Lytechinus pictus: one gene and its partners. The protein of the gene in region 1 purifies or fractionates together with the protein of each later gene. This does not show direct contact. Links are inferred from orthologs where the notes say so. Each region holds a gene or a part of one and is shown on either strand. Other genes may lie near its edges.

Region 1 (7,901 bases):
GAGTCTAAGTCTAGAAGAGGGGAAGTTTTAGCATCAGGTGGTCGGTAAAAGCTTCCTATATGCAGAGTCTGACCTTGTAGGGTAGCCTGACACCATATTTGCTCGGATTCAGTATCTAAATCAGTTCTTTGAAAGCAAGGGATGGAGCTGTTAACGCAAATGAAGACACCTCCACCATGCGAATTCCTATCCTTTCTAAAAATTTGGAAATGAGCTGGGAAGATTTCGGCAGATTTAACAGTTTGATCTAGCCAGGATTCAGTACCAATGATTATATCAGGATTTACAGTTTCAATAAGCGAGGTAAGCATTGCAGTTTTTCCCCTTACACTGCGACAGTTAATGATGGCAATTTTTGTTGCATTTTTATCGCTCTTCATATTCCGATGAGCTTTATGGATAGTCCTACATATACTCCTAGATCTATTTGTTTCCAGTTGACGGTTGACATTTAGGCAAGAAAGTCTATTTGTTGGTGAAGTTCTATCAGTTGGAATGTTACTTTTTCCATTTTTTCCAACAATCGTCCAACTGTTGCTGGTTCTTGTAAGTTTCAGTGGAGTTACTCTTAGGTCTTTCTCACGGCGTCCAACTCCGACTTTAGAATCATTTAGGGGGCCTAGTCCTGAACTGGTACGAATTGGGCTTGATGATTTACTTTATTCCAGTGGTCATAACGTAGTTCAACGTCCTCGGTGCCCTCATTAAGGGACGTAAGACTTTCAAAGGAGTTAGACCCACTTAAGTTCAATATAGATTCTGTAGATTTATTAGAGTCAAGTGAAGAGTAAAAAAATGAGCTAGCAAAGTTCATCATATCACAAAGCGGGCATAGCCAAATGGCTGTTGGATTTTGGGCATGGAAATCAACAGTTCTATTTAATTATTAAATTGATATCTTATTTATAAATGCATAATGTGGGTGCGGAATTAATGCGAGTGCAAATCGCGAGCCAAAATTTTTGATAAACTGTCATATAACTAAACAATTATTGATGCGAGCGGAAAAATTCGAGATTTAGACCTAAAAATGGTACACTCTGTTCATGTTTTGTAAATCATGAAAAGGGTGACTAATAGGGGATCTTCCTACATTAATAATGCGAGCACAAAGCGCGAGCAGATGCACGCGCGTGTTTCAGATTTAATCCAAGAATCTAGGCATTCTAAATACATCTTTTATCATGAAAATCAAAGCGAGCGCGAAGCGCGAGCATAAAATATTTGATATTCCGATCTTAAAAAAGGGTCATTTTCAGCTCTATAGGCAAGCACTTTGTAGAAAAATTGTGAGGTGGATATGGATCGCACTTAATAAAGGGCTGATACTTTTCATCATTATTATTTTTTTTAGTTTTGACAAAGGACTGGGAAATCCTTAGGACATGTCATCATTTGAAAATGATGACTATTTTTCTATTCCTCTTGCTAAGCGCGAGATGAAACAAAAGGGACAATTTAATTATTAAATTGATATCTTATTTATAAATGCATAATGTGGGTGCGGAATTAATGCGAGTGCAAATCGCGAGCCAAAATTTTTGATAAACTGTCATGAAAAGGAGATTTTAAGTAGTTTGTTGTGTAATCAATATTGACACAAACATAAATCGCCAATCAAAATGCAAGCATGCAGCGCTAGCTGATACGTTTTGACAATCAGACCTGAAAAGGGATATTTTGAAAAACTTAATGGAATTCACGAAAATAATAAGTACCTGATAAATCAAAATTTGCGAGCGCACAGCGCGAGCAGAAAATTTTAATATTCAAATAACTGACATTTTTACATAGCACTTTATAAAAATCAATTTGTAAATCACACAAAATAATGAAAGTTCGATTTCCGAGGTGAAATATGTTTTGTATATTGACTTCCAAACTTGGTATTTAAGCTCAATATTGAACAAGTTAGTTATGTAAATCACCTAACAGGCAATGCGAGCGCGATGCGCCAGCGAAAATTTTGTATAGTGACATGAAAGATTCTTTTTATTTTTCCAAGTTTTCCCCTCATTTCAATATTTTTTAATTCACCCGTCTTCCTCTTCTTCTTTTTTCTCCGCTCTTTTCCTTTTTTCTTCTTTTTTCTTTCTTTTTTTCTTTTTTTCATTTTTTTCTTTTTTTTGCTCCGCCAATAGGGGGGGGGGGGGAGCCCGGGCCCCTCGGGCCCCCCTAGATCCGCCTATGTTTTAATTCATATCCCTTTCTCAATCATGTATCATGCTATTTCAGAATGGTTTATTCTTTCTCACATCTTCTTCTTTCGTTCCTTTTCCCGCTTTCCTTCCGTTTCCCATTTTTCTTTCTTCTTAGTTTTCTTTTCACTTTTACCCTTTGCCTTTTCCTCTTTCCTCTTTTCTCCCTTTAATTCCTTTCCCTTTACTATGTGCCCTTTCTTTCTCCTCCCTTTTCTATTTTCCCGTTTTTTCGCTTTCCCGGTGAAATCCACCGGGGGGGGGGGGGCAGCCTGCCCCTTCCCCCTTGCTTCCCCTATCCCTAAGGGGCGGATCCAGAATTTTCCAATGGGGGGGGGGGCAATTTTTTTCGGATTAAAATAAAGGATTAAAGGATATTTTGTACCCGAAAAAATTTGACGAGCCCCAAAAAAAGGTTTTCAGCAACAAATTAAGGGTATTTCGTACCAGAAAAAAAATTGAGAAGCAAAAAAAAAAGATATTCAATCAAAGGTCAAGTCCACCCCAGCAAAATGTTGATTTGAATAAATAGAGAAAATCAAACTAGCATAACACTGAAAATTTCATCAAAATCAGATGTAAAATAAGAAAGTTATGGCATTTTAAAGTTTCGCTTATTTTTCACAAAACAGTGATATGCACAACTCAGTGACATGCGAATGAGTCAGTCGATGATGTCCATCACTCACTATTTCTTTTGTTTTTTATTGTTTGAATTATACAATATTTCATTTTTTACAGATTTGACCATAGGGACCGACCTGACTGAATAATATAGTATTAAACAATGCTAATTCCACATGTTCATGGAGGAATTAATCATTCACTCTTAAAACCGATCAGTCAAATTGACTAGACCAGTAGTCAGCTGGGAGCAACTGATATGGCAATCACTGATAGTCACATTTCTGACATATATTCTAGTCAGAAATAACTCTATTCTAGTAAAATATGACTAGAAAATAGTCAAATATGACTAGAATAACAGTTGCACCCAGCTGACCCAATTAACCAGTCATTTTTGACTGATTTGTTTTTAGAGTGTTGTTTCACTGGACAATGAGGAGAAAATTAGAATGTTTCATATTTCATATAATACAATACAAAAGAAATAGTGAGTGGATGACGTCATCAGTCTCCTCATTTGCATACCAAACAGGATGTGTATATAAATATTTTGTGAAATTAAGCGAAACTTAAAATGTCATAACTTTCTTATTTTAAATCCAATTTTGATGAAATTTTCAGTGTTTTACTTGTTGGATTTTTCTCTTTTTATTCAAATCAATTTTTGTTGGAGTGGACTTGTCCTTTAAGGAATATAGGGGCACACCTATGTTTTAATGGCATTTTTACATTACAAATTTTAATTTTTGCTTCTCAAAGGGAGGGGGCACGTGCCCCCTGTGCCCCCTCCCCGGCTTAATCCACGCCTGCCCCCGGCACATTTGCTCATTTTAATGCTCGATTTCCAGACGATTCGCAGCTTTGATCGGTACGTAGGGGAAGGCGGGGTAAGTTGTGACACTTTTTGCATTTTGCATGTTAGATCTGATATGACTAATGATATTGTAGAAATAAGTACCTTGCATGCCTTTTAATTTGATTATTTGGAAATATTTTTCACCTATATATAACTCTCTACCCCCACACTAAAAGACACTCTGACCTTTGAAAAAAACGATGTCAAATGGCTCAACTTTTCCCATCTGTGGGGTAAGTTGTGCCACCTTCTGGGGTAAGTTGAGCCACAAAAACTATGTACAAATTGTATGCGAACCCGCACGTCAATTTATTATTTAAAGTCTTTTCACTTGCTATATCTATAAATACTAACATCCTCTAAAAGTAAAAGAACTGTCATGTGAATTTGCTCCTTTCTGCCTGCATATCAATGGCTTTTTAAGGTTTTTGTTTAATCATTTGATTATACATTACCATACGAATTACCATTGCTCAACTTGCCCCATTTTGGCTGGCTGAAATTACCCCAGTCGGAACTTAATGCGATATTTTCACATCCACACATTTCTTATGCATCCATCATGTAAAAGACTATGACAAGAATGAGAATCCATACCTGGACTAACAATCTTGTTCTTATTTCTTTATTATACAGTTGTACTTAAAGACGTGTGTGGGTAAAAAGCAGTGATCTATTTCACACCATTTTTTACTTTTTTGGCTGAAATTTGTATTTTTCCCTCTAAAAAAGTACTTTTTGTTTCAAAGTTGAAAACAATGTGGTGGGGTTAAGAGTTATGTAATGGTTATCAATACATGACACCACCACAATGTCTGACTCATCTATTATTGGCCTGGAGGTCAGGGGCGGATCCAGCTTTTTATAAAGGGGGGGGTTGGGGTGGTATGCGAGGGAGCGTAGCGACCGAGTCCAAGCGAGCGGAGCGAGCGAGGGGGGAGGGTGTGGGAGGGGGTGTCCCCCCTCCCACAGTAGGGAAAATTTTTGAAAATCTGTGTGTGAAAATGGAATTACAAGTTAAAAAAAAAAGATAAGATTTAAAAAAATGGTCCCCGGATTTTTTTTTTTTTTTTTTTTTTGGGGGGGGGGGGGTTGCAACCCCCCCTTTAGATCCGCTTCTGGGAGGTGGTGGCTCAACTTGCCCCTATGCTCAACTTACCCCGCCTTCCCCTACGCTACGGTTGCCCCAATTTTTCATTTTGATCGTGATCGAAGACACCATATCAAATGGTAAACATAATGGTCTCGCGTGCAAATGTCTTGTGCCGACGGAGAAGATCATTCATGAAATTAAGTTTTTCTTCAACGTTTTAGGTTTTTGTGATCTTTGAATAAGGTCAGTAAGTCAACCATGCTGACTTCCAGGAGTTTTGTGAAGAAGACTCGGAAAGGAGGAGTGATGAAGGTTGTGAGGGAGCACTATCTGAGGGACGATATTTGGTGTGGATCCGCTGTTTGTTCCAAATGCTCAATGGATAAGCCGGTCTTGGAGAAGGAGCCCGTGCCCGAAGTGGCAAACACGTTGTGCCGCTATCCTCATTATCTCCTTCTTGATACAAATGTAGTTTTGCATCAGGTGAGCTGTCCTCTTGAAAAGAATAGGATTTCATGATTGTGGGCAATTAATGGCTGCTCAATTAGTTGGCATGGTTGGAACATCAAAGATTTAATACTAGGGCCTAGCAAAAGAAAAGTAAAAAAAAAAAAAAAACACTGGTGAGTGGACAGTGGAGTGGTCACATGATTTATTCTTGGCTTGCTCGCAAAAGTTGCAATCAAATTTAAAATGTGGTCGTCCTTATCCTGAAATAAGTCACCTTTCTTCTCGTGTGTATCAGTGTGTGTGTGCGCTCGTTGTTTAGTAAAGTCAATGGGAGATGAAAAAAGTCGCCGCCACTGATGAACATGACAAAATAAACGGCAGTGAATGGAGTGGTGGATAATGCCGTATGGTCTGACGAAGACTGATAAATCTGCTGTTTTGGAGTAGTTTTTCAATATTTTCAGATTTTTTGGTCCTACACTACAAAGACGGATGACGGCCATTTGCATGATTAGCTAGGTTCGTAATGGTGGAGCAAACAACCTCCGCTTAATTACACTTACAGTACAGCGTCTGGAGAAACTAAGGCCAGGGTACACTTTTGCACCCTCTAGGCTCTATTACTCATAAATTTTGCTTTATGATGGGGGAAAAGGAAGAAATAATTAAGATGAATTGATATAAAATACAATCAGCTTACCACCTTTCTGAAAAATATGCTGGAAAATAGCAAATTTTGATGACAAACATATTTGGATCAGCCAGGTTCTTCTTTGATCGCCGTCAGCTACAGCTCATTCATATGCTCAGCTGTAGCTGTGCTGACGGCGATCGAAGAAGGGTGGGTGGGTGATACAAAGAGTATGATTCATCAATGTCATAATTTTTTCTTTAGGAAATTTGCACAATGTCCTTTGAATAGAATGAGAAGCATATTGAATTGTCAAGAAAACAGTGAATGTATGAATATGCATCATATCTGGAATTTTGAACAAACATGTATTTTAGATGTTGACGTTGCTGGCTTTCCATAGTTGTGGTTGATTGGATCAATCATAACTCTTTGTAAGACAGGGCCCAGAAGTACAACTCCCACATCACATTTGTATCTATACATGCACATTTCTCAAGGGTATTTTTTCTATCTTTCACAGGTGGATATACTGGAGGACAAAGCAATTAAAAATGTCATTCTCCTGCAGACAGTTCAGAATGAGGTATGGGCTAAATACAAATTTATTGATTAAATTATGTGTGTATTAATTATATAAAAAGAAGACTTGTGGTGAAGGTGTTTTCAAGATGGTATATTGTGATAAAGGGACTGCAAAGATGAGAATTTAGGGTAGTGATGCCACTAAATCTTACATAAGTGTAAAAAAATAAGTTCTCATTTGTAAGAAGCTTTTTATAGCTAAATATCTGAAAGTGCTTTCTGAAATCGCATTGATTTTTAGATGCCTATTTTATTAGGTTTTGTCTTACACTGTTGTATTGGTAGTTCATCTTGTCACTGGGAGATAAATGAGTTTTCTGTTCAATTCAAGACTGCTTTTTAATCACATTAATTGTGATAAAATGCGCCAGTCTTAATACTAAATAAAATGTCACTTTCTATTTTCAGGTCAAACACAGAAGTTTGCCATCGTACAAAAGGATACGAGATCTCATTGCAAATGACAAAAAAAAGTTCTATGTATTCACAAATGAACACCACAGGTGAGGATATGACTTCACTTTGATTTATCATCATTTATGGTCAATGTTGTGGATCTTACAATTAACATTATGTTTTTAAAATATTTTCAAAGTCAGAGAGATAAATGCCCATACCGTAATACAGAATTTTTCCATGTGACTATAATGCTGGATACAAGTATTATATTTATCATCATTTTGGTATCCTAAGTAAACATTTTCCTTACTCTTATTAAAGAGAAAGGTTTATCGATAGGCTTATGCCATGTACCTCCTCTGCACGATAGTGTGCTTGATAAGTGTATACATGTAGCACATGTATTTTTATTATTAAAGAAGGTCAAGGCAGTGGCATAACATGGCTTTGAAATAAATCAGGTCAAGTTGTTTTTGCCAGGTTATGATCAGGCAGAAGTATTACAACACTGGTATTATAAAATTTTCTGTTGCCCACAGGCCTGGCTGCCCATGTTTTTACTTAGTGGGCATTAGGGACTAGCTATCATGAAACTTGTTACCAAAATGAAATACCATAAATTAGTAATGAATATCTTCTTAGCCATTTAATTAACTTGGCGAGATTGCTTTAGCTTATTGTAGTGGCAAGTTGCCATCGATAACAAGCTTTATTAAACATGACCAGTCCAGTATAGTGTTTCATGGAGCTTCTTTTGAATGATTTCACTGACAGACTATGCAGAGCCAATCAGATGCAAGGATTTCAGTAGCTTATAACATTTTCAGTGGAAATTGCTGGCTTCATGTATTAGTTTCATGAAATGCTCCCTGGAGCGCCAGTTTGGAGATCACAACTCATCCTTTATCATTATTTTCTTTTCCTCAGAGAGACATATATTGAGATCGAACCAAAGGAATCTCCTAATGACTTCAACGATAGAGCAATACGGAAGAGCCTTACTTGGTATGATAATCACTTCAAAGACACTAAGATCAAGATTGTCCTACTCACCAATGATGT
Region 2 (7,657 bases), on another chromosome or scaffold:
TTTGATTGTCGAAATAATTATGTAACATCTTCATCGCTAAGTGCAAGCAGTCATTAACAGGTCCTTAACGATCAGTTCAAATTGTATATAAACATTTTCTGCTCACGTTTTGCGCTTGCATTATTACTGTAAGGAAGATCCCAATTACTCATCTTTTTTATGATTTACAAAACATGAATACAGATTCTCGTGCTTAGGTCTTAATCTCGAAATTTTCCGCTCACGCTTCACGCTCGCATCAATTATTTAGTTTTATACCTATCCTGTTTGAGTATACAAAAAGTGCATAGAATTTCCATTCTTTAGGTAGAAATGTCGAAAAAAAAATCAGCTCGCGCTTCGCGTTCGCATTATTTGATTGTTTAAATATGTAACGTCTTCATTGCTAACTGCAATACCTCTTCGATCAGTTCAAAACGTGTATTAAAAATTTCTGCAAACGCGTCGCGTTCGTAGTAATTATTTAGTTGCATACATTTTTTTCAGGATAGCAAACATTGCCCATAATGTTCAAATTTTAGGACAAAATATATATAATTTACAAAAAAAATAAATCGCACTTCGCGCTTGCATTATATAAATACGCATTATGATATTATATATTTATGTTGATTTATGAGAATAAAGTTAAGAAGTGACTATTAGGACTACCCCTGTAAAGAAACAAACAAAAATCATCTTCGAGCGGCCGATCGGGGAAAATATGGCTGAAAAAAAATCCGCCCCCCACCCTATTGGCGAAGGCTGGATCTGCCCCTGAACATGTACTAAGATAGTGGCCAAGAAGAGAGTGCCTCCAGGGTTACTTTAAATGTACGCAACGAGTTAAATGATCGATAATAACAAACTTAAATCTGTTCATGATATAGACGATAATGAGGCTACCAATATTATTTGAAGATTATGTCTTTTACCGCTTCAGATAGACCTACTGTCTCCCGGGATTACCTTATTGATAAATGTTCAAAATCAATCAATCTTGTGGATGGCAAAGTTCCTTAATTACCGAAAGAAAATGTGTTTTTGCGTATTAATGTCAGGGGTATTGTCAATAAAATCGAGTCACTTCGTTATATTTTGTCAAACAATTCCATTGATGTTCTCTGCGTTAATAAAACCTTTTGTGATGATTCAATATCTGATGATGAGATTTATCTCGATGGTTGAGGGTTGAACGCAAGGATAGAACACGCCACGGTGGAGGAGTAGTAGTGTATGTATCTGTTAAGATATTTTTTATACACGAAGGTATGACCTTGAAAACCAAGATTTAGAAATGACATGTCTTCATATCACTTTATCTTTTCAGAAAAGTATTTTGGTCATTATATAGACCCCCGTCAAGCGATGTTTCTTTTTTTTGACAGTTTTGAACAAAGTTTGGAATCAATTTTCTCGTACAATACTTCAATTGACGAGGTACTCATTTTAGGAGATCTAAATTGTGATTACAGTCAATATTGAAGGATTTGTACCTGTATCATAAATTAGAATATTTGATGAGCTCGTACAATTTCGTTCAGTTAATTGAAACCTTTACACGTGTCACAAGTAATTATTCTACAATCATTTATCTCGCTTTTACAACTCGCTCTTTAAGAGTAATCTAGCGTGGTTGCATTTTCACATCTGTTAGTGATCATTATATGATTTATTTAATACGTAAATTTACTAAATTACATTCTAGCTTCTATAACCAATATTTTTTTCCTAAAACGATAACTTACCGTCCAAAAAGATGCTGTCGAAGATCAATTATATACTCTTCTTGATTCAGCGCAATGGCATAAATTAAAGGATATTTGTGATGTTAATGAATTTTGGAGAACATGGAAAACAATTTTTATTCATGTTTTGGACAAAGTCGCTCCTAAGAAGTCGGTAAAAGTTAAAAATCAGTCACTCCCATTGATTTCTGCTGACATTAGAAAAATGATAAGGGAACGTGACAATGTTCATTGTAAATTTTGGAAAATGAAAAATAAGATAAAATCTAAAGCTTTTATCGTTTCTTCTATAACGAGGTAACCCGGGGTTGATTAATTTGTCTTTTGCATCCGGTGTTTTCCCGATGACTGGAAGTATGCTAAGGGTTTTCCCATTATTTAAAAAAGGTGACTTTTATTATGTTTGCAATTTTCGACCAATTTCTATTTTACCGACTGTAAGCAAGATCTTTGAAAAAAAATTGTCCATTAGCAGTAACTTATGTGACTATTTGATTTCCATTAATATTCTTAGCATAGCACATTTCGGTTTTCGACCGGGCCATTCTACAGCTTTGGCTTTTGGTTCTTTTAACTGATGATTGGTTAAATGCTATAGACAGAGGTGCCTTACAGGAGCGCTTTTCATTGATTTAAGACGTGCTTTTGATAGTGTTAATGATTTTATTGAATAAATTAAAGAATATTGGTTTAAGTGATTTGTCTTTAGCATGGTTTGATTCGTATTTAGATAACAGAAAACGATATGTTGCGATAAAAATGCTAAATCAAATGATCGATGTATTTCCCTTGGAGTTCCACAGGGATCTATATTAGGTCCGTTACTTTTTTTGATTTACATTGATGATGTGTTAAAAGTTTTGAATCATGGAAAGTTATAAATGTACGCTGATGATCCTATATGTAAGTGCTATACGTCTATTTATGAAATACAAGTAAAACTTCAGAATAATGTTGATGCTATCGCTAAGTGGATCAAGTTAAACATGTGAAATAAGCTATGTTTAAATGATGATAAAACCAAATATATGATCATTGGAAGTAAAAATAAAACTTAAGGTATTAAAAGATAGACAAGTGCAATTTCTATGAAGTATGAAAGTATTGAAATTGAAATGTGTAATAGTTTTAAATGTCTTGGTGTTATTATTGATGATAATTTGTTATGGTGCAATCATGTTGACTATGTATGTAGACAAGTGTTTGTAGGACTTGCCATGCTCAGAAGAGTCAAGCCATAATTATGTTGATGAAGCTTCAATGAAATTATTATACAGTGCGTCCCACAAAAAACAAAACCGAGATTTATCGATGATTTATCATAACTTAATCGCAAATACAATAGACAAATGACTGACCTACCATTTTAAAGCTTAGAATCTCTTCTTTCATCTGAAATTACTTAGATTATTTCTCATTCACGCATGAGTGAGCAAAAACAATTTGAAAAGGGGATACCAAAAAGTCACTTGGCGGGCCGTATCTGGTTTTTCAAAAGAAAACCTTATTTTTTAAAAGTTCAATATCTGTTCTTTAATTTGATACCTCAATTACAGAAAATGGTCAAGAAATAACAAAGTTCTGGTTATTTGAAATAAGGCTTGACTTTCAATAATTTCATAAAATGAAGAGGTTTTACAGGCAAGCGTTCAAACTCACTCGACACTCCGTTTTGTTAACGATCAGCCATGCATTAAGTCTTTTGTTACCGTGCGATAGCTTCTGTGGGAAACCGGTGAAAACACGTTTATTTAATGAAATTATGGAAATACAAGCATTGTTTCGAGGGATCATAACTTTTTTACTACCTGACAATTTTCTGTGATTTAGGTATCAAAGAAAAGAGAAGATATTGAAATTTTTAGTCATGTGATTTTCTTTTTGAAATTCAGATACCCCCCGCCAAATGAGTTTTGGCATCCTTTCTTCGAATTGTTTTTGCCTAATCATGCGTGAATGAGGAATAATCTAAGTAATACCAGATGAAAGAGGAGATTCTAAGCTTTACATTGGTAGGTCATTTGTCTATTTTATTTATGCTTAAGTTATGATAAATCATCGCTAAATCTCGGTTTCGTTTTTTTCTGGGACGCACTGTATGTATGTCTCATTCAAACACAAATTGATTACTCTTGTGAAATGTGAGGGAATAGATGTTTAGGTCAAATTGAAAAGTTGACTAAATTGCAAAAGAGGGCAGCAAGACTTATTTTAAACTGTAATATATACACTCCCTCTAATTAAATGTTTACTCGTTTAAGCTGGATGCCTTTTAATAAAAAAGTAGAATATTACTGTACATAATGCTGTCACTTATACGTCTGTATATTAACAATATGAACTGATGATTGCATATGTATTATCACAATTACTTGTTTTTAATTGTATATAGTTGATTTTTTTGTTATCCAGGGTCTCATGGAAGATCAACTGTTGTTGAATGAGCTACCCTGGTGAAATATGAATAAATAAATAAATAAAAATATTAAAGTATACAAGCATATCATTTTCACCATTGACCCGAGAATTGATTAGGATCTCCCCCGGCCCCGAAAAAATGAAAACCTGAAGTGAAATTGCATGAGTGTCAAATAATTCACGAATAAATTTGTATATTTTGTCCATAGCAATTAAAAAACAATTATTGTAGATTTTTTTTCACACCCAATGTGCCTGTCAAGTCAACCGCGACGACGGCCGAGGGGCCGAAATCAGAAGGGGGGCATCATGCCCCCCATGCCCCCCATGCCCCCACGGTCCTTCGATCTCAAATAACCAAACATAAAATAAAGTATTGAGACAGGGAAAAGTGGCTATACCCTATAAGGACTATTTCTGTGAAATATCAGCACAAAATAAAGGAATCATTCAATTAAATTTAAAACCCGAGCGAAAAATTATAGCGCCATCCTTGATCTAACAGTAACAGTTACTTAGACAGGATTCAAGATGGCAGCCCACAGTGAACACCAACGAGATGTGGACCATGAGGAAATTAAAAAGTTTAGGGATCATCATCGAATCTGTATTCCTGGTAAGATGATAAATAGAAATGTGTGAATATGAGGGATTACTATATTGTTGATATTTTTGAAAGTATTTGTGAAACTATGTCTAGACTCTAGTCTAAGTCTGACTTGAGTTGGAACTAAATTGTGCCTGCCCCACCTATATAGTTTCGTGTTGGTTTATGTCCTAGGCCTGTTACTGTTATTTGTTAATAGGCACTTCACTCGGGTGAGCGATCGTGCGGACAGAGCGCTAGATGTAGATTTTTGCATTGCAGTGAATGGCGAGCGCATGTCTAACACACACAGTTTGCTCCGCTCGGCACGTCTTCGGCCGAGTGCTAGACTCCCTAGAGCTGAGTTGCATTTGGAATTGCTCGAAAAAACAGACTACAGAGTCGGTTTCTTCCTTTATTCCGCTGATTTTGATTGGTCAAAAATTCCCGCGGTTGCTTCGTACATCTTCGGTAAACATCGGAAATATACAACAAGGAGTTTCAGTATGCCCATGCTGTGTGGAACCCCGTACTGAAGAAACATATACATGCATTAGAATAGAGAACGTACAAAGAAGGGCAACAAAATTAGTCCCAGAATTAAGGAAGCTTTCCTATCCACAACGATTTAAACAGTTAAAAATCCCAACTCTGGCGTATCGAAGAGTTAGGGGTGACATGATTGAAACATAAACACTTTAATAATTATGATCTATGTAGAAAACTTAATTTAGAAGAAAAATATAGTGAACATACCAGAGGTCACAGTGAAAAACTGTTCATACCAAGGACAAAGACCCGGAAATATAGGAATTCTTTTTATGTTAGAATACGTAAGACATGGAATAGCCTAAATAATGAAGTTGTCAATGCCCCAAGTGTGCACAGTTTTGAAGCTGCCCTGGATAGATGCTGGAAAAATGAGCCAATAAAATATGACTACGAAAGCCCTGTTCCCGGAAGTGAGCCAGCCATCTTGAGGAGGAAAAACCTAGAACTGTCTGAATACAGAGGCATAACATGCCTACATTCAGAAACTTCCCTAGGTATCCCTAGGTACTTACCTTCTTGCGAGGGAAGGACCTAATATTAAGGTATTTATTTTTCTTTGCTTGAAATCGCCTTCTTGTAATCATGAGATCTCATGTAAACTCGGTCAGTAATGAAATTATATATTTGAGAACATTTTGTTAAATTTTAATCAAATTTGGTCCGTAGAGAGCCAGCGGTGAGTGTTGTAAGGTGTTTGTGAATCTGACTCGGCCGATCGAGCAGGGTTGTTTTGAGCGTATACAAACAGCTGTGAGTGACGTCATCCCCGCTGCGATGGGCTCGAGTTTAGTCTGGGTATTCAGACACAGTATGTTTCAGCCGTTGTATATTTTTTAATTACGATTTGAGCTCTGTTCATTTTGAACTTTAAATTGTTATTTTGAAAATAATTTTGTAGAATTTGTGCGAAATAAGTATTAAGAACAAAACTGCAAGTAAACTTCAAGAATTTTGTTTGATTATTGATTTTTTTGTTAGAATGTGTCTGAATGTCTAGAATATGGTATTGTTAATCGAAGTCGTATTTTTGAATGGCACAAAAAGCTCCTTTCATGAATTTGATTTAGAAATAGGTCTACATGTATGAGATATGTTTCATGAATTTAATATCTGATTATGGACCTTGTTATGGTGTTAATTACTATTTTGAAGATATTATGAAATGAGATAAGACAATAATGATGAGACATTAATAATAATGTCTTAATGAGACAATAATGATGAAATTATTGAGACCATAATGATTATTATTTTGATAATTATAACAAATTAACAATTATAATTATAATAATTCTAATTGTAATAAGTATTGAGACAATAATATTAATGAGACATCAATAATAATAATTATTATAAAAATAATTATAATTATAGGCCTAATAATTATTGAGACAATATTATTATTACAATATTAATAATAATATTAGAAGATGATTATGATAACAATTATGATTATAATGATAATTATAATTGTAATAATTATTGAGACAATAATAATTATTATTACAATAATATTTAAAATATTGAATAAATATTATTATATTTAATGAATATTAATATTACAATTTATTATTATTGTAATAATAATAATTATTATGATTACAATGATAATTATTATAAAATAATTATAATGATAACAATTATAATTGTTATGATAGTATTATAATTGTAATAATTATTGAGACAATAATATTAATGAGATATCAATAATAATCAATATTATAAAAATAATTGTAATGATAACAATTATGATAGTAATAATAATTGTAATAATAATTGAGACAATGATATTAATGAGACAATGATAATTATCATAATGATAATAATAATTATGATTATAATTATAATAATAATTTTGCCAACAATAATGAAACAATGATAATGAGACAATAATAATATTGAGACCACAATAACAATAATGAAATAATATACAATTCAATTCAATTTATTTCCACTTTAAAAAGCAACAATATATACAAATCAATAAAATGTTTAATACATATTAGTATAGTGGGGCATCATAAAAAGCACAAATGATGGCTTATTAAAAATGACCCCTTGCAAACAAAGATAAAATAACACAAATGACAACAATGTATAATACAAAATAAAGGAGGGAAAGAACAAAGATTGAAATCATTCTTTCTTTATTTTTTTTCCTAAAAATTCTGAGATTATTATGTTAATTCTCTTTCTTTTATTTCGAATTATATTCATTGAAAATTTAATTTCTAATGTTCAAGCAAAAGAAATCCATATCAAGTCATTTTTACCCTGTGCACAAACCTACCACAGGACAATTACCCCGAAATAGGGTTAGGTGTAGAATTTTGGATATAGGGTTACAGTGTAGTTGTCCGCGGGGGGGGGGGGG
Region 3 (7,773 bases), on another chromosome or scaffold:
CACCTTTGACCTTGGTCATGTGACCTGAAATGCACACAGGATGTTCAGTGATACTTGATTACTCTTATGTCCAAGTTTTATGAACTAGACCAATATACTTTCAAAGTTATGATGGTAATTCAACAAATACCCCAATTTGGCCAAAGATCATTGACCCTAAATTACCTTTTACCTTAATCATGTGACCTGAAACTTGCACAGGATGTTCAGTGATACTTGATTACTATTAGTCATTTTTTGCCAATTTCCTCTGGGTCCAAAGGTGAAAATTTGTGTTTTCAACATATTTTGAACTCCGTTAATATGAAAACGAAAAGTAGTTCGGACCCAATTTTTCAGGTACTTGTTGGTTGTTAACATGTTAGGTGCCCCAAGGAAAAGCAACCTAGGTCCTAGCTATACTTCATCAAGTTTTAAAAGAGGTAGCTTTAAAAAAAAAAAAACACATTTTTGCCATTTTGGCCACTTTTTGGCAGAAAATATGCCTTTTTTCAAAATTTGAATTGGCCATATCTCGGCAACCCCCCGGCCCTCGTCCAATTTTGATGATCTTGGTGTCATTTTACTCGTGTTTCAGAGCTTATTCCAGTTAAACTATTTAAAACTAGAATTACAACACTTCAAATTTCAATTTTTGGGGTGGCATCCCTATTAATATAAGTAAACCAAATATCTCATAAAAATTAGACAGAAATACATGATCTTCTTGGAAAAAACATTAGGCAGTCATTTTCAGATTGAACAAAAAATTGGTACCCCATGTCTACGCACCCATTCACTTTGCACGCAATTTGGGGATTTTGATGAAAAAGGCTGCTTTTTGAGGCCATCACATGAAATGCCCAAAATTCATTATTTTTTCGTAATTTTGAGTCGAATTTTTTAATGAATATCTTTCCAAATACTGTGTAAAGTCTGTGGTCATCGCGTACTACATGTAGAATCGCGCAGATACGTAGGGACAGTGATTTTCCGCGATCGCGGAAAACGGACGGAATTCACGGATATTGCCTTTTGAAACGGAAAGTGGCATTTCAAACGGAAAATCACGGAAAACATATTTTTCCTCAGAATACACAGAATAGCAACAGTAATTACCCCAAAATCTCAACAAAATACGAATATTAAATGGCTACAAAACCTCACAAAACACGATCTCACTTCACTACAAAGTATGACAATCCACACATCGTGACTGCTCTCGACTCCATCACTCTCGATCGAACCCCCGGGCCTCTCCCGGGTCTTGGCCGGCGGCGGGGTCGGCCGTATCGAAAACATTCACATGCAAACAACACGGTCATGTGTTGCTGCCCTCTACGTTTGAAGATGTAACAGTACAATATTCCGGTCTTAAAATCCAAAATGGCGGATAGGCTAAAGTCGTTGACTGGTCGAAACGATGTCCAAAACCCCCCAAAATTATCTATAAAATTTAATTTAACAAATAATGCTAATAATGTGAAACTGAAAGGTAAGGATGTATTTATGTCAAATATGTTTGTCAAAATATTTTGTGTACCCCATACTAGATCCGATTAACTGTAGTGTTAGCATGGTTAGAGCGGATTCTACTGCGTTGTTGGTACATACAGTGGCAGATACAAATTTTGACCAGCGCGAGTGATATATTGCTCCTGAATGGTAAACGGAATAGCCAATTTTCCGTGTACACAAAGTCTATGGGGAAACGGAATTTCCGCTTTCTGACATGCTGAAAGTGAAACGGAATTTACGATTTTCTGAAACGGAAAAGGCAATTTTTTTAAACGGAAAATCACTGTCCCTAGATACGTGTGTGCGAAGACAAGGAGGACTGCGCAGACGAACTTGCCATACTTTTTAGCTTTCAAAGTACAAACAGAAACTCTAGACGCGGGCAGTGCGGCATGTCATTGTCAGGTGCCTGGCAGGCCAGCGCGCTAGCCGGCGGCGACGGCTACAGTACAGCGCAGCGCTAGCGGCCACAGCAGCATCATCCAGCCGCAACGCTGCGAGTGCGAGGCTTCATCTCATCCTAACCCAGAGAGCTCCCGCCCGCGCAGCGGGCGCCCGCTGCGCGGGCGGGAGCTCTCTGGGTTAATCTCATCCCAGCTCCACGCTGAATTAGTGTGTCAACAAACCTGAGCAAAATCGTTCACACTGGTGAATCCTGGCACATCCGTGACCATCATTTCGTCTCCAGCCTTTTCAGTCATTTTTAAACGGTTGAAAACTTTCGAATGTTAAATCTCTTGTTAGTTTGATTGGGAAATCGTGGCTCAAACTCGTCTCGATCTCATCTCAATCAGTCTCAGCTTGACTGACGCCATCTTCAAAACACCACGTGGGAGCATCGTTGGAGCTTTCTCTGACGTCTCTAGTTCTCTGTACTGTATGTACGGTACTGTACATAAACTTAAAGTCAAAGTCGTCGATTAAATTCTTCTTTCTTTTTTTTGGCAGTAAACAATTCATCTAGATCTATAGCTTTAAAAAGTTCGTGAGCTGTATTTTCTCCAAATATAGCAATGAGTAATCGGTATTTTGGAGAAAAATCTCCATCCTAAATGCTTACTACTTTACTAGGTCACCTGATACCAGTACACTGTCACGTGATTTCATGCATGTACGTGTACTATAATTGGGAGTACCGAGTAGTTGGTTGGAAGTTGAAGTCAGAACAGGCAAAATGTCATTGTCAAAGATATCAATTCTGGTTTTATTTGGTGCCTTGATCAATGAAACCCATCTCTGGTTGAAGACAAAATCGTATCTAACTGATGATCAGACAATTGCAAGAATAGCAGAGAAATTTGTTGGTAAGAACTAATCAGCAATTCTACTCCCAAATGCATGAAATGGGCAAGACAAAACCAAAACAAAACTTTAATTAAAGCCAAAACAAAAGCAAACTGAAAAATATTTAAAGCCTTAAAAAGGCAAAATGATTCCACTTATTTCCAGCAGTCCAGCTCTGGGCCTCGGGAGGCGCTGGGGGGGGGGTGTACAATGTCTGTGCTCTTGAACTGAATATTTGTACTACTACTAATTTACTCCTGACTAGTGACTGTCATCATAGACTAGTCTATGTCATGATGGAAAGACTGGAATTATATTCAGTAGACGTATACATGTACTCGAAGTACACAGGGGCCGCGGAACGGTTTTCAAAGTGGGGGGGCTGACCATGCAAAAAATCACAATCCTATGGTCATTTTTACGTTTTTGTACACGGTTTTGACTTTTGGAAAAAAGTGGGGGGGCTGAAGCCCCCCCGGTTCCGCGGCCCCTGGTACATGAACGAAACTCTGAATTTCGTAAATTGCGGATCAAGACAGTCAAGAGCCTCGAGCGCCTAATACTCGACAAGTCATGCAACCCTTTTGTGGGAAGACTAAATTTGCATATATAGTCTATTGCATGGGGATAGGTGTTTCCAAAATTGGGGGAAATTTCTATCTTTTTATTTTCAAAACATTTTTTGTCTCGCCTGCATAGCAGAGCGAGACTACGAGGCGCCGCTTTTCATGTCACGTCGTCAACATTGAAATGTTAACCCAGGTTAAGTTTTTGAAATGTCATTATTAACTTAAAAAGTATATGGACCTACATGTAGCTCATGAAACTTGGACATAAGGATAAGGGTAATCAAGTATTACTGAACATCCTGCCTGAATTTCAGGTCACATGACAAAGGTAATTTAGGGTCAATGAACTTGGACCATGTTGGGGGAATCAACATCAAAATCTTAACCTAATTATATAAGGTTAAGTTTTTGAAATTATGTCATAACTTAGAACATATATGGACCTAGTTCATGAAACTTAGACATAAGGTTAATCAAGTATTACTGAACGTCCTGCTTGAGTTTCACGTCACATGACCAAGGTCAAAGGTCATTTAGGGTCAATGAACTTTGGCCAAATTGGGGGTATCTGTTGAATTACCATCATAAATTTGAAAGTTTATGGATCTGATTCATTAAACTTGGACATAATAGTAACCAACTAGCACTGAACATCCTGTGCAAGTTTCGGGTCACATGATTAAGGTCAAAGGTCATTTAGGGTAAATGAACTTTGGCCAAATTGGGGGTATTTGTTGAATTACCATCATAACAAAGTTTATTGGTCTAGTTCATAACTTGGACATAAGAGTAATCAAGTATCACTGAACATCCCGTCTGAGTTTCAGGTCACATGACCAAGGTCATTTAAGGTCATTCAACTTTGGCCATGTTGGGGGTATTTGTTGAATTACCATCACAACTCTGTAAGTATATTGGTCTAGTTCATAAAACTTAATTGGACATTAGAGTCATCTATCACTGAACATCTCATGCGAGTTTCAGGTCACATGACAAAAGTCAAAAGGTCATTTAAGGCCATTGAACTTTGGCCATTTTTGAGGTAATTATTAGATTGCTGTCATAACTTTCAAAGTTCATAGATCTATATAGTGTATAAAATGTATATATGGGGTCAATATCATTTACAAGTTTTAGGTCACATGATCAAGGTCAAATATCAATGAACGTAGTATTGTATCATTATATGAGTGTTTTTTTTGTGAATAATTATTTTATAGTAGTTTTCAAAGTCAGCGCTGCTGCTATATTGAATCGTGTGATGCAGGTGAGACCGCCAGAGGCATTCTACTAGGGGGCAATTCCGTAAAATATGTACATCCGACCCCCTATATGTGGGACCTTCATGAAGTTTTCTGTCTCTCATTTCTTGTTCTTTTGACAGTCTGTAGGTTAATGTTCTCAAAGGGCCATGGCTTGGTCATTTTATGACGTGAAGTAAGACTTGAGAAAAATGGGGGTCAGACGTACAAAACGGTTGATCATTTTATGGAATAGCCCTAGGGTATATATTTGTTGCGGAATCTTCTCGTGGGGGGGGGGTATCCCAGGGGATTTGAATTGCTTCACTCTAACTCATCAAAAATGTACATAACAATTGTATTTCTTTCTGACAGGACTTCCACACCAAGATGCCTTTGACAAGGTGGGTGAGGTTCTTCGGGAGAGATACCCTGGTCACATCCTACCCAAAGAGAGGGAGGAATGGATCTTCATGAATGCCGGTGGCTGGATGGGGGCCATGTGTCTCGTGCATGCCTCGCTCACCGAGTATATTCTGTTCTTTGGCACTGCGGTGGATACTGGCGGTCATTCTGGTGAGGAATAGAAGATAGTCGTTTAAGCTGATCATTAGGCTTGTTTGATACTTGGGTAGGGTAGCTTGCTGATGTAGTAAGGTCGGGGCCTCGTGGTCGAGTGGTTATGACTCTCGTCTTTCATACTGAGGGACGTGGGTACTGTACGATCCCAGCCATGGCATGTTTTCCTTCTGCAAGAAATTTACCCACATTGTACTGCACTCAACCCAGGTGAGGTGAATGGGTACCCGGTAGGAAGAAATTCCTCAAATGCTCAGCTAGACCGCCTATATGGGCAGTTTAGCCAAAGCCGTGATAATAATAGCAGCGCTTGTATCCTAAGGCAAACGGGGCTTGACAAATCCAGCTATTATTATTATTAAGAGAAGCATTGGAAATACATTAGGAAGACAAGTGATTTTTTTTCATGACAGCCAAAGTAACCCCTAAAATTTGCAAACTGAAATGCTTTGGGGTGTAATACCATCTTTTCTTAAGTTGCCCCAATATATTTGCAAGAAAATATTATTCAAGAATATTTAGAAGATCAAGATTCTACGTACAGCAGAACAATGAGAAAGACTTTTACGGCATAAGTGCTAGTTGAGCTAAAAGGAAAAAAAAGTAGTCCTTAAAAATAGAAAGTCTTCAAATTCAGCAATCGTCCCAATTTGGCCCAAAAAACTGTAAAATGAAAATTGTTTCCTATCAGAGTAACATATTGTGCTTTTTTTATGGATAATAGGTTTTTTTTTTTTTTTTTTGAGGGGATCCAAAAACAGACAATTTGCAGAATTGGTTGCCAGGGGGAGGAGAATATTTTACTTGTTCTATAAAAGCATGAGTACATGTAAACTTGTGCGAGATCAAAGCAACCAAGAGTATTGCAAATGCATTTTTTTTTCATTTTAGGGTGAAAAGGAAAAGGTATTAATTTCTATATCACTCTATTTATTGTTTATTCACAGGTCGATATTGGGCAAATGTTTCTGACACGATCATAAGTGGGAATTTTCGGCAGTGGAAAGAAGGAACAACCGAGAGTGAAGAGTATGGACCGGGTAAGAACCATCATTCTTTGAATCTTAGTATTTCAATTTTTCTTATTAAATTTGTACATTTACTGCCTCCATCATTCTAACATCCTCACAGGACAGTGTTGATTATCCAAAGTGGTTGAAGGTTCAGGAAAATTTGTGTGTCCCAGGAAAAAAAGGAACTTGTTTTCAAAGATATTACAATTATCAATATGTTTTGATTACAAATTTGAAATCAAGATGAATATTTAGGGAATCCTATATGCAAGGTATACCACATTATAAACACTAAAAATTGAGCCATGTAAGAACGATTTGTGCGGAAACTCATTTGTAAACCGGTCTTCACTCTGATGCAGCGAATTCGTGAAAGAAGCATAACAAAGGACAGTGAGAAATGCTATTGACTATTCCTCCTTAAAACCCTTTTGTTGTTTACTTGACACATCTTGACTATTTTAGGTGCAACTTAATCCTAACATTAAATCATCAAACTCTTCTTGTCCATCTTTCATATCATGACATTATGAGGTAGGCCCCTATCCAAATAAAGAAGAAAAATTGCAAATTAGGAATGAAATATCATTTTATCATTAAAAAGCTAAGGTGGGAAGATAATGGTGAATCCTGTTTTCTTTTCTTTTTCTGAGAGGCACTGTACTCACAGCTTCAATGATTTCATTTACGTTGAATAGAGAGGGGTAGGGTATAATCAACTATAGTAATGATTAAAAAGGGTATTTTTCTTGGAACGTGTTTTCAACAAAAATATCCCAACAATTCATTATCATCTTGCAATAGAGAGCTAATGCATAGATATTGTGAAGAAGTACAGACCTTTCATTTGTCTGAGATCAACAAACCGACTCTCATTTATTTTTTTTCATTTTCGGTTGACGATAGGAGTCACACTACTCCATGCTTGGGGTGAGGCCACTTCCGTCCAGTGGACCGCGGGCACCTGGATGGTTGAATATGGGCGTGGTTTTATACCCTCCACCCTCCCGTTTGCCATTTCCGACACAATCTTCAGTACCCAAGACTTCTACACCCTCTACCGAATCGTCAGGATCTACGCAGAGGCACTGTTCCAGGAACTGCTATGTGTTCTTTGATGATGGTTTAAGATTGTTAGTGGATTAGTTAACAGAATGGGGAAGGGGGGTGGTTAGATTGACAGTTAATTTGGTTAAGTTTGTTTTTCCTATTGATATACTGATGGTTCATAAGTTCAAAGGTTTTTAATTTAAAACATGAAATAAGGTTTGATACTCTATAAAGGTTGGCCAAACCATTGGCAGATCCAGGGGGGCACATCTGGCCTGTGCCCCCCCCCTCCTTTTGAGATGCATAATCAAAATCTGTAATGTAAATTGGCCGTTCTAACACAAGTTTGCTCCCCCCCCCCCCCTTTTGAAAGTGAGGACCTTTTTTGTTTGATGGAGATTAAAGCAACTCTATCTGAAATAGGACCAGCATCGATTCTTTTTATTAGCATTTGATAGGTAGGCCTAAGGTACCATCTTACTAATCAAAATTGCTACCCTTCAATAGATTTTTAGAAATGTTTGAATGAGTTCTGATAAC
Region 4 (7,600 bases), on another chromosome or scaffold:
TGTCTATTTTGTCTTGATATATGAGACTAGTTCAGTCCCATACGCTGATTTTTCTGTTTGTAATTTTCTCTAGCTCACACTCTGGCATAGACAGCTGGCAGCCGTCTGTTTCGAGGAGTTTTTTAACATTTTTTTATTTTTTAAGTTTCTCCTCATACACAGACGGCTCGCTATTGTGCAGCCACCATTAGGGGACTTACAATGCAAAATCCCCCTGTCGGGGCTCTTCAATTTTTGTCTTTAAAAAATAAAAGTTTAATGAATCAAACTTTTGTTATGAACACTCCTAGTACCAATGAGGTCCAACATTACATGTATGGACCTCATAGGCGACATCAGTAGTATTTTGTGTCAGAAATCTTTGTGAAGATGATTATTTTTGTATTTTATCAAAACTACAAGCTATCGTACTGTCTAATCATTACATTTCGATCTCACTAATTGAATACATTGTTAGCAATAAAAAAAATTGAAAGAAATGAAGGGGAACTTACATTTTCACGGCTTTTTCCTGATTTTCTGGGCAACTGCTCCTCTCTTCTGACTCGCGATCGAAGCTGATATGAAGATCACGTGATTCGCGTTCTCGTCAGCTGATCGGTTGGTTATTCTTTTCGTCAGACGTTAATAATATATATTTTATAATGCTAGCATTCATCGCTAATTTAGGTGAAAGAGATTGAAGTTAAACAGCGCCAGGTCGGAATCATAATTATTTTGGAAGAGTGTATTTATACACTCGATCTCATACCTGACGTAGACGGCGCTATTCAACAAATGCACAATCTTCAATATAAAAATAAAACAGAAAGAACGCCTTGAACACAGGCCAAAATGCCGAACGATTTCTCCGCGGCATTAACAACTATCGTAAAGGGCGCTCCATTTATCAATAAAGATGGACGCTAAGCTGTCTATGGCGACAAAATTTGCCGCAAATATTTACGAAGAATTGTGAGAAATGGTCTGAAAATGCAACAAAAGAACCGGTGAGTACCGATTAAACATTATTAAATTTATAAATAGATTATACATACCTTGTAGATTTAGTTTTTAAGGTGATATTAGTGCTTAGTTCTAAGCTAGAGAGGCCCAAACGCGCGTGAGTGGAGTCCCAGTTTATTAGCACGGGTAAGTATTGGGGTGTCGCCTAGAGTGGTTATGAAAATTAACCCGACCGAAATGCAAATTAATATTCCCTCTTGGCATTAATTGCCAAAAAACGGGGAAAATCAAGTTAAAAGGAACAAAAACAGTGACTTACCTCGGCTGTCGCGCAACTTCACTGCCCTGTTTTATCCGAACTTAATACACATAAACATATGGCCATTGACGATTGAGTCCCCTGTACACACCACTCCTAGTACCAATGAGGTCCAAACATTAACATGTATGGACCTCATAGGCGACAATGCGTTAAAAACAGGTTAGAACTTCTAAACGTACTGTTTCCTGCACCCAAGTATGATATTACTCCCAAAATATGAGTTTTGTCCTCGTTTGTTTATCATTTATTAAAAGATTGCCCATTAAATATATTCCTATTCCTAATTTGAATTTAATAAAATAAAGGGAAACTTACATTTGAGTCATTTTTCGATCTTTTTTTGGCAGTCAGTCCGGTCACCGTCGAGTGCGATCAAAGCGGTATGAAGCTGATTTTCAGATCACGTGATACGTGTGGTCATCACCTGATCAATCGACTATCCTTTTTTAAAGACCGCAACAATTATAAATTTTATTATAAAATATATATAGAATGAATAATTGCATGATATTATATATATTTCTACAATTAAAAATATTTTGTGATATGAATTTAATATTTGACGTAAAAATCGCTATTTAACAAAATATTTATTAAAAATAAAAAATCAAACAAAATAAAAACGCCTTGGACACAGTGCAAAAAACCTAACAATTTGGCCGCGTTCTTAACAACTATCGTAAGGGGCGCTCTATTTATGAATAAAGTTGCATATGTAGTTGTCTATCGCGACAGGAACAGCCGCAGAATTGAAGCCAGAAGCGTGGGAAATTGCCAGAAAATTCAAGAAAAGAACCGGTGAGTACCGATTTAACAGTACTAATTTATTAAGTAACATTTATTGAATCATTACAAGATTTATTTTTTAGTAAAACAAAGCTTAGTTCTAAGCTAGGGCGGCCCAAATGCGCGTGAGTGGAGTCCCAGTTTATTAGCACGGGTAAGTATTGGGGTGTCGCCTAGAGTGGTACACACCTGGGGCCGATTGCACGAAAGGGTCTTTCCAAGGACCGTCTTTCGTGTCGCCCATCTTTTATGATGCGCTATAAGCGGGGTGTTTCTGAAATTTATGATAAACAAATAAAATTCGTAAGCTAGCTTTTAAATCAAATTTTATACAATTTCATGAGATATCAGTTTTTATCACATCATTTTATAAAAAAATATTTTTGTTTATTCTAACGGACAAATAAAATATATTTGCAGATAATTTATTTGAAATGCGTTTCACATGGCGTATCATAAAAGATGGGCGACACGAAAGACGGTCCTTGCAAAGACCCTTTCGTGCAATCGGCCCTTGTTCACTGCAACCATCCTGCCTGTGGGGAATCTACAGGTAGGACTATGGTATGCCAATGCTGTACATAGCACATACTTTAAAAAATCATTAAAATATCACTTTTGTTACCAAAATTACTAATTTCCATACAGTTGCAATTTATTTTTAATTAGTAACTTGGGAATAATTTTTGTGTTCACCAGAGCGCTCAAAAACTTGAATTTTTGGCATATTTTTGTGTGCGCCCTCTATAGGTGGAAAGTAATATGGCAAGAAATTTTTCATTTTTCAATCTCTATTTTTAATTAAGAAAAAATAATTTAAAGAATCAAATTTACATAAGAGCCAAGTTATATGAGGAATAGATGTATCGGAAACTGACAGTGTAAAAAAATCAAGCATTTGTCCCACAGAAAAAGAGAAAATAAGCCAAAATTGCCACCCTTATTTTGCCACACATGGAGATGTAACTGAGAACAAGGTTATATCATAACCTTGTTCATTGAATGAGTGCCTGTACAGATCGCGCTAGAAGTTCGGTCTCTGTATTTGGTGAGTGAAGCCAACGGCAACGGAGTTCAGCTGAACAACCAACATAACTAATGTTGTAAATCGGATCAAAAATCAGATCGAAAATTGGATCGGCAGTTAAGCTTCTAAAATCGAAATCGAATCGGCGATGTTTAAAAACAAAGGAATACATCAAAATTTTGTTCGCGGTCGCGCGCATCTTCCTGACAAAGTCACAAAGACGAATGTTTAGGAATGGAAGTCGTCGACATGCGCGATCGTTTGGAACATGCTTTTAAAGGAAAGGGTTTTGAGGTTTAACTGCTTTACAATAAAATGAGTGATTTTTATTAGAAAGATAAACGAATGACGCATCTTCCGAGCAAAGTCGCAAAGGAAAATAATTGTCGTAGATCACATGTCAATGAACGATCGGCGGGACATCTTTTATAAGTATTTTTATGTGAAGCTGAGCTCAGCTAAGTTCGCTCATTATGATGTGTGATTACAGCCACGCCCAATAACCATTCCAAAGTACACCCATTTTGTTATAATAGCTTACTTGGTACATCATTTCTCCGAATCAGTTCTGGGAAAAGTTAAGTCACGCCTCAGTATCAATCTTTTTGTATACCGGTACTCACCCACTCAACAATATCAGTGAATTACGCAATGCGCGCAAGCATTCACACAATACAAGATAGTTTTGAGGCATAGCCGAGAACTGGAACCGCCCAGACTCAACGGGCTAGTGCAAAATTCTTTACACTACCTTTTGGCATGTGCACGTGGTGGGTTTGATTGACACTGCTAACAGTGCTATTCTTTGAGTTGGCTCACTGGCTGGATTAATGACAATATATCACTGCAAGTATGGCTTACATGATACATAAAACACGCAACACATCCATACACACTGCTCTCAAACTCCCTTGCTATTATTCGTCCCTATAGGCCATGTGTGCACTTATGTGCGGGATTTAAGCATGGCATTGACTAGCATATACAACACATCCACGCACCCCAGCATTCATATACCATAGAGCTGTTAATAGCTCCATGCATATACATTTCTCAAACTCGCTTGCTATTCGTCCATTGTGTGAACTCATGGGCGGGATTATGACAAAAATTAGCGCAAGCACTAGGTACGTAATACATACAATACATTCCTGCACCCACGCGGTCACACAGATCTCAAACTCCCTTGTCATTCGTCCATTGTATTCACTCATGGGCGGGATTTATCAGCGTAAGCACTAGCATACATAATGCGCACAACACAAGCAGTCACACACAGCTCTCAAACTCCATTGCTATTGTCCATTGCATTCACTCATGGGCGGGATTTATCAGCGTAAGCACTAGCATACATAATGCATGTAATATTCATGCAGTCACACACAGCTCTCAAACTCCCTTGCTATTGGTCCATTGTATTCACTTATGGGCGGGATTTATCAGCATAAGCACTAGCATACATAATGCGTACAACACATTCATGCACCCATGCAGTCACATACAGCTCTCAAACTCCATTGCTATTGGCCATTGTGTGCACTCATGGGCGGGATAAATGACAAACACAGTACAAGTACATGTTCATTGTTTGTATTATACAATACATTCATTCCAAGTTCCACTCCCACCATACCAGTCAGCGCAGCTACCGGTAGGTCATCATAAGTAGGTCAACCTTTTATGAGTCATTTCTGACATTCCAGGAATCTCGATTGTTCGAAACTATTCGATAAAAAAGCTCTAAATAGCTAGCACCTCCGCAAGAACAATCTTATATATTATACATATGAATATGTTCTGACCGCACTGTAACTAGATCTACAGGTATGCCGATTTTTTATATCCGATTTTTTCCTTCAAGGGGCATGATCGAAGATCGGCAAGTGATCGCCGATTGTTGTGAAATCGAATGGAATCGGTTGCCGATTGCAAAATCGGTTACAAGCTTAAACATAACAGAGACCGAAGCTTTTGGTCTAACTCTGGCACAGCTAGCCTGGAGGCGTCTGGGGAGTAAAAGTCATCTACTCTACGTAGGCTTACTCCCCACTGATGCCTGGGTCGCCAAGGTATATTCACGCAATCGCGCAATTTGCATGCTGTCGCCAAGCGGAAGACAAAGAAATCAAGATGGCGACGTAAACACGGCCGTAAGCTCTTCCCATCTTTTCATAACATTTTTCTCGTTTTTTTAATGAATTCTTCTTTAAAAACGAAATCAATATTGCAGAAATGTTGGAAATGAAGTTGAACCCCATGTACATGTTTTAGGGCTAGATCTTTTAGAGGGAAAGTATAAATCTCGGGGGCGAAAGTTTCAGGTTTTGTGGCCGTACGTGCGTGAATATACCTTTGCGACCCAGGCGTCAGTGGGGAGTAAGCCTACGTAGAGTAGATGACTTTTACTCCCCAGACGCCTCCAGGCTAGGCACAGCTGCACAGTCTGCAATTCAATCACCTTGTTTGAACTGTGTTGACAGGAATGAGTCTGTAGTAGACTAATAAATCCGCTGTTTCGGAGGAGTTTTTCAACATTTTCTGATTTTTTTTGTCCTACACAGACGGACGACGGCTTGCCTGGATTCTGGAGCAATTTACCGCAAATAACCGTTGGTGTTGCTTAACTACTACTACTACTAGTACAGGGACTATGGAGAAAGGGAGCGCTTTTGCACTCCTCGATTACTCCTAAATTTTGCTTTTTGATGGGGGAAAAAAGAAGAAATCATAAAGATAAATTTATATCAAATATAATCAGCCTACCACCTTTTTGAAGAATAAGCTGGAAAATAGCGAAATTTGATGACAAACAGATCAGGATCAGCCAGGTTCTTCTTCAATCGCCATCAGCTACAGCTGAGCGAACGGATTGGCTGGCACTTCGTACACTCAGCTGTAGCTGAGCTGACGGCGATCGAGCTGTCAAAGAACCTGATCCTGATCATATTGTCATCGAAATTCGCTATATTCCGGCATATTTTTCAGCCACATATATGAATTTAGAAATTTTAGGATCTCTTACCCTCTTGGATGACCAATGCTAAATATTCATTTCACTTTGATATCAGCAAAGTTAATTTTTAGGATTTATTTTACCTCTTTTACCTTTAGGATGACCTGCGGTCGGATGGGAGGACATGCCTGTCTTATCGAAACTTTGAATTGGAATGTGGAGTAGTGTCCAACACAAGTGGATCTGCAAGATTGAAGCTTTCAAACACACAGGTATGTTTAACTGGTAAATTGCCAAATGGGCTATTCCTGCTTTGTGTACTTTCATCCTAAACTGGGTTCCAAAAGAAACTGATCAAACTTTACAAAGGCACTGCACAGATTCCACTCGGTCAAAATGAACAATATTTTTACATAGGCTACATTCAATAATCTTTACCAAGCACATGACAATAATTAAGAGATTGGCTCAATCACAGAGAGGCTGTAGCCCTTCACGTCAATTGGACACAAAGTCACAAAATGACAAAAGAAAGACAAATGGAAATGAGATGGAATTAAAAAAACTTCCCAGCTTATTACACATTTCTTCGTGGGCATGTTTTAGTGATTGGCTGAATCACAAAGACGCTACAGGAAGTTTACATCAAAATTTTAAATGACTGGATCAATCACACAGAGATCCCCGCAGGCTGTCCCAGTAAGCGGGGGGGGGGGGGGGGGGTAATCTGAACATGGTAAGTATCTTTGTTTGGCTGTGTGAGATACACACAGCTATCATGGTGTTATATTGTTCAATTGAATGAAATTAAATGGAATGAAGTATAATCTTTGTGCTCAGAGAATTGACCAAAATCATGCATAGTAACTGATGGCTCAAAGATTCAGTTGTACTTGAAAAACGCTTGTCTGTTAATTGTTTTAAGTAGAATTTCTATCAAAACATATGTTCGAAATTCCTACTAAATTTTCCAGGTTATTAAAATTGGCAATTTGAATAGCATGATAGTGTGATGCTGCATCATTATAAATGTATCAGAATTTTCCACCCTTTGCTCTCTTGGTGTTTTTTCTTATGCTTTCACCCACCATAGATGGGTGCTGGGGGCATTGTGTTTTCAAATACTGACAAGGTCAAAGGTGGCAAAGGTCATTATTTGAAAATTTCAGAAGTAAGATGCATTTTGAATTCTTGATCTTGCAAATAAAGAAGCATATTTGAATGCATGCAGTCAAAAATCCACCTAGATCCTTTATCTTTGGCGTTATACTTATGTTCCTCCCTATCTTTTTTATTTTGAACACTTTTTTTCTAAATTTGTCACTTTTTTTCTTAATGTGTTTTTAATTGGAAAGGTTTTAGTTGGTGTTAAAGCTGAAATGGGACCACCTAATCAATTAAATCCTTCCCGCGGCACAATAGAATTCTTTGTAGACTTCTCAGCCAACGCATCACCCAAATTTGCCGGGCGGGGCGGAGATGAGCTGGCAGGAGAGATATCCAACATGCTCGGGCTTGTCTACAAAAATGAAAAGGTAGGACAACAGCATCTTCAAAAGTTAATTTC

Evidence for each region.
Region 2: the proteins of exosome complex exonuclease RRP44-like (region 1) and exosome complex component CSL4-like purify together in Drosophila melanogaster (affinity purification with western blotting; 3 studies listed by BioGRID, with this or other methods). This does not show direct contact. The link is inferred for Lytechinus pictus from reciprocal best matches to the Drosophila melanogaster genes Dis3 and Csl4.
Region 3: the proteins of exosome complex exonuclease RRP44-like (region 1) and exosome complex component 10-like purify together in Drosophila melanogaster (affinity purification with western blotting; 3 studies listed by BioGRID, with this or other methods). This does not show direct contact. The link is inferred for Lytechinus pictus from reciprocal best matches to the Drosophila melanogaster genes Dis3 and Rrp6.
Region 4: the proteins of exosome complex exonuclease RRP44-like (region 1) and exosome complex exonuclease RRP42-like purify together in Drosophila melanogaster (affinity purification with western blotting; 3 studies listed by BioGRID, with this or other methods). This does not show direct contact. The link is inferred for Lytechinus pictus from reciprocal best matches to the Drosophila melanogaster genes Dis3 and Rrp42.

Annotation. Positions count from the first base shown.
Region 1 is NC_087249.1:53,877,135-53,885,035, reverse strand, and holds the start of exosome complex exonuclease RRP44-like, read left to right. Parts: upstream 1-4,895; 5' UTR 4,896-5,032; coding exon 5,033-5,257; intron 5,258-6,378; coding exon 6,379-6,441; intron 6,442-6,848; coding exon 6,849-6,943; intron 6,944-7,766; coding exon 7,767-7,901.
Region 2 is NC_087256.1:31,514,503-31,522,159, forward strand, and holds the start of exosome complex component CSL4-like, read left to right. Parts: upstream 1-4,648; 5' UTR 4,649-4,676; coding exon 4,677-4,761; intron 4,762-7,657.
Region 3 is NC_087258.1:25,019,457-25,027,229, forward strand, and holds the start of exosome complex component 10-like, read right to left. Parts: upstream 3,015-7,773; 5' UTR 2,802-3,014; coding exon of another isoform or gene 2,672-2,801; 5' UTR 2,199-2,671; coding exon 2,124-2,198; intron 1-2,123. Other genes in the region: sigma non-opioid intracellular receptor 1-like, read left to right, coding at 2,672-2,801, 4,967-5,167, 6,118-6,210, 7,090-7,301. UniProt on the Drosophila melanogaster protein: Catalytic component of the RNA exosome complex which has 3'->5' exoribonuclease activity and participates in a multitude of cellular RNA processing and degradation events.
Region 4 is NC_087246.1:61,517,030-61,524,629, forward strand, and holds the start of exosome complex exonuclease RRP42-like, read left to right. Parts: upstream 1-4,582; 5' UTR 4,583-4,635; coding exon 4,636-4,731; intron 4,732-6,191; coding exon 6,192-6,305; intron 6,306-7,388; coding exon 7,389-7,568; intron 7,569-7,600.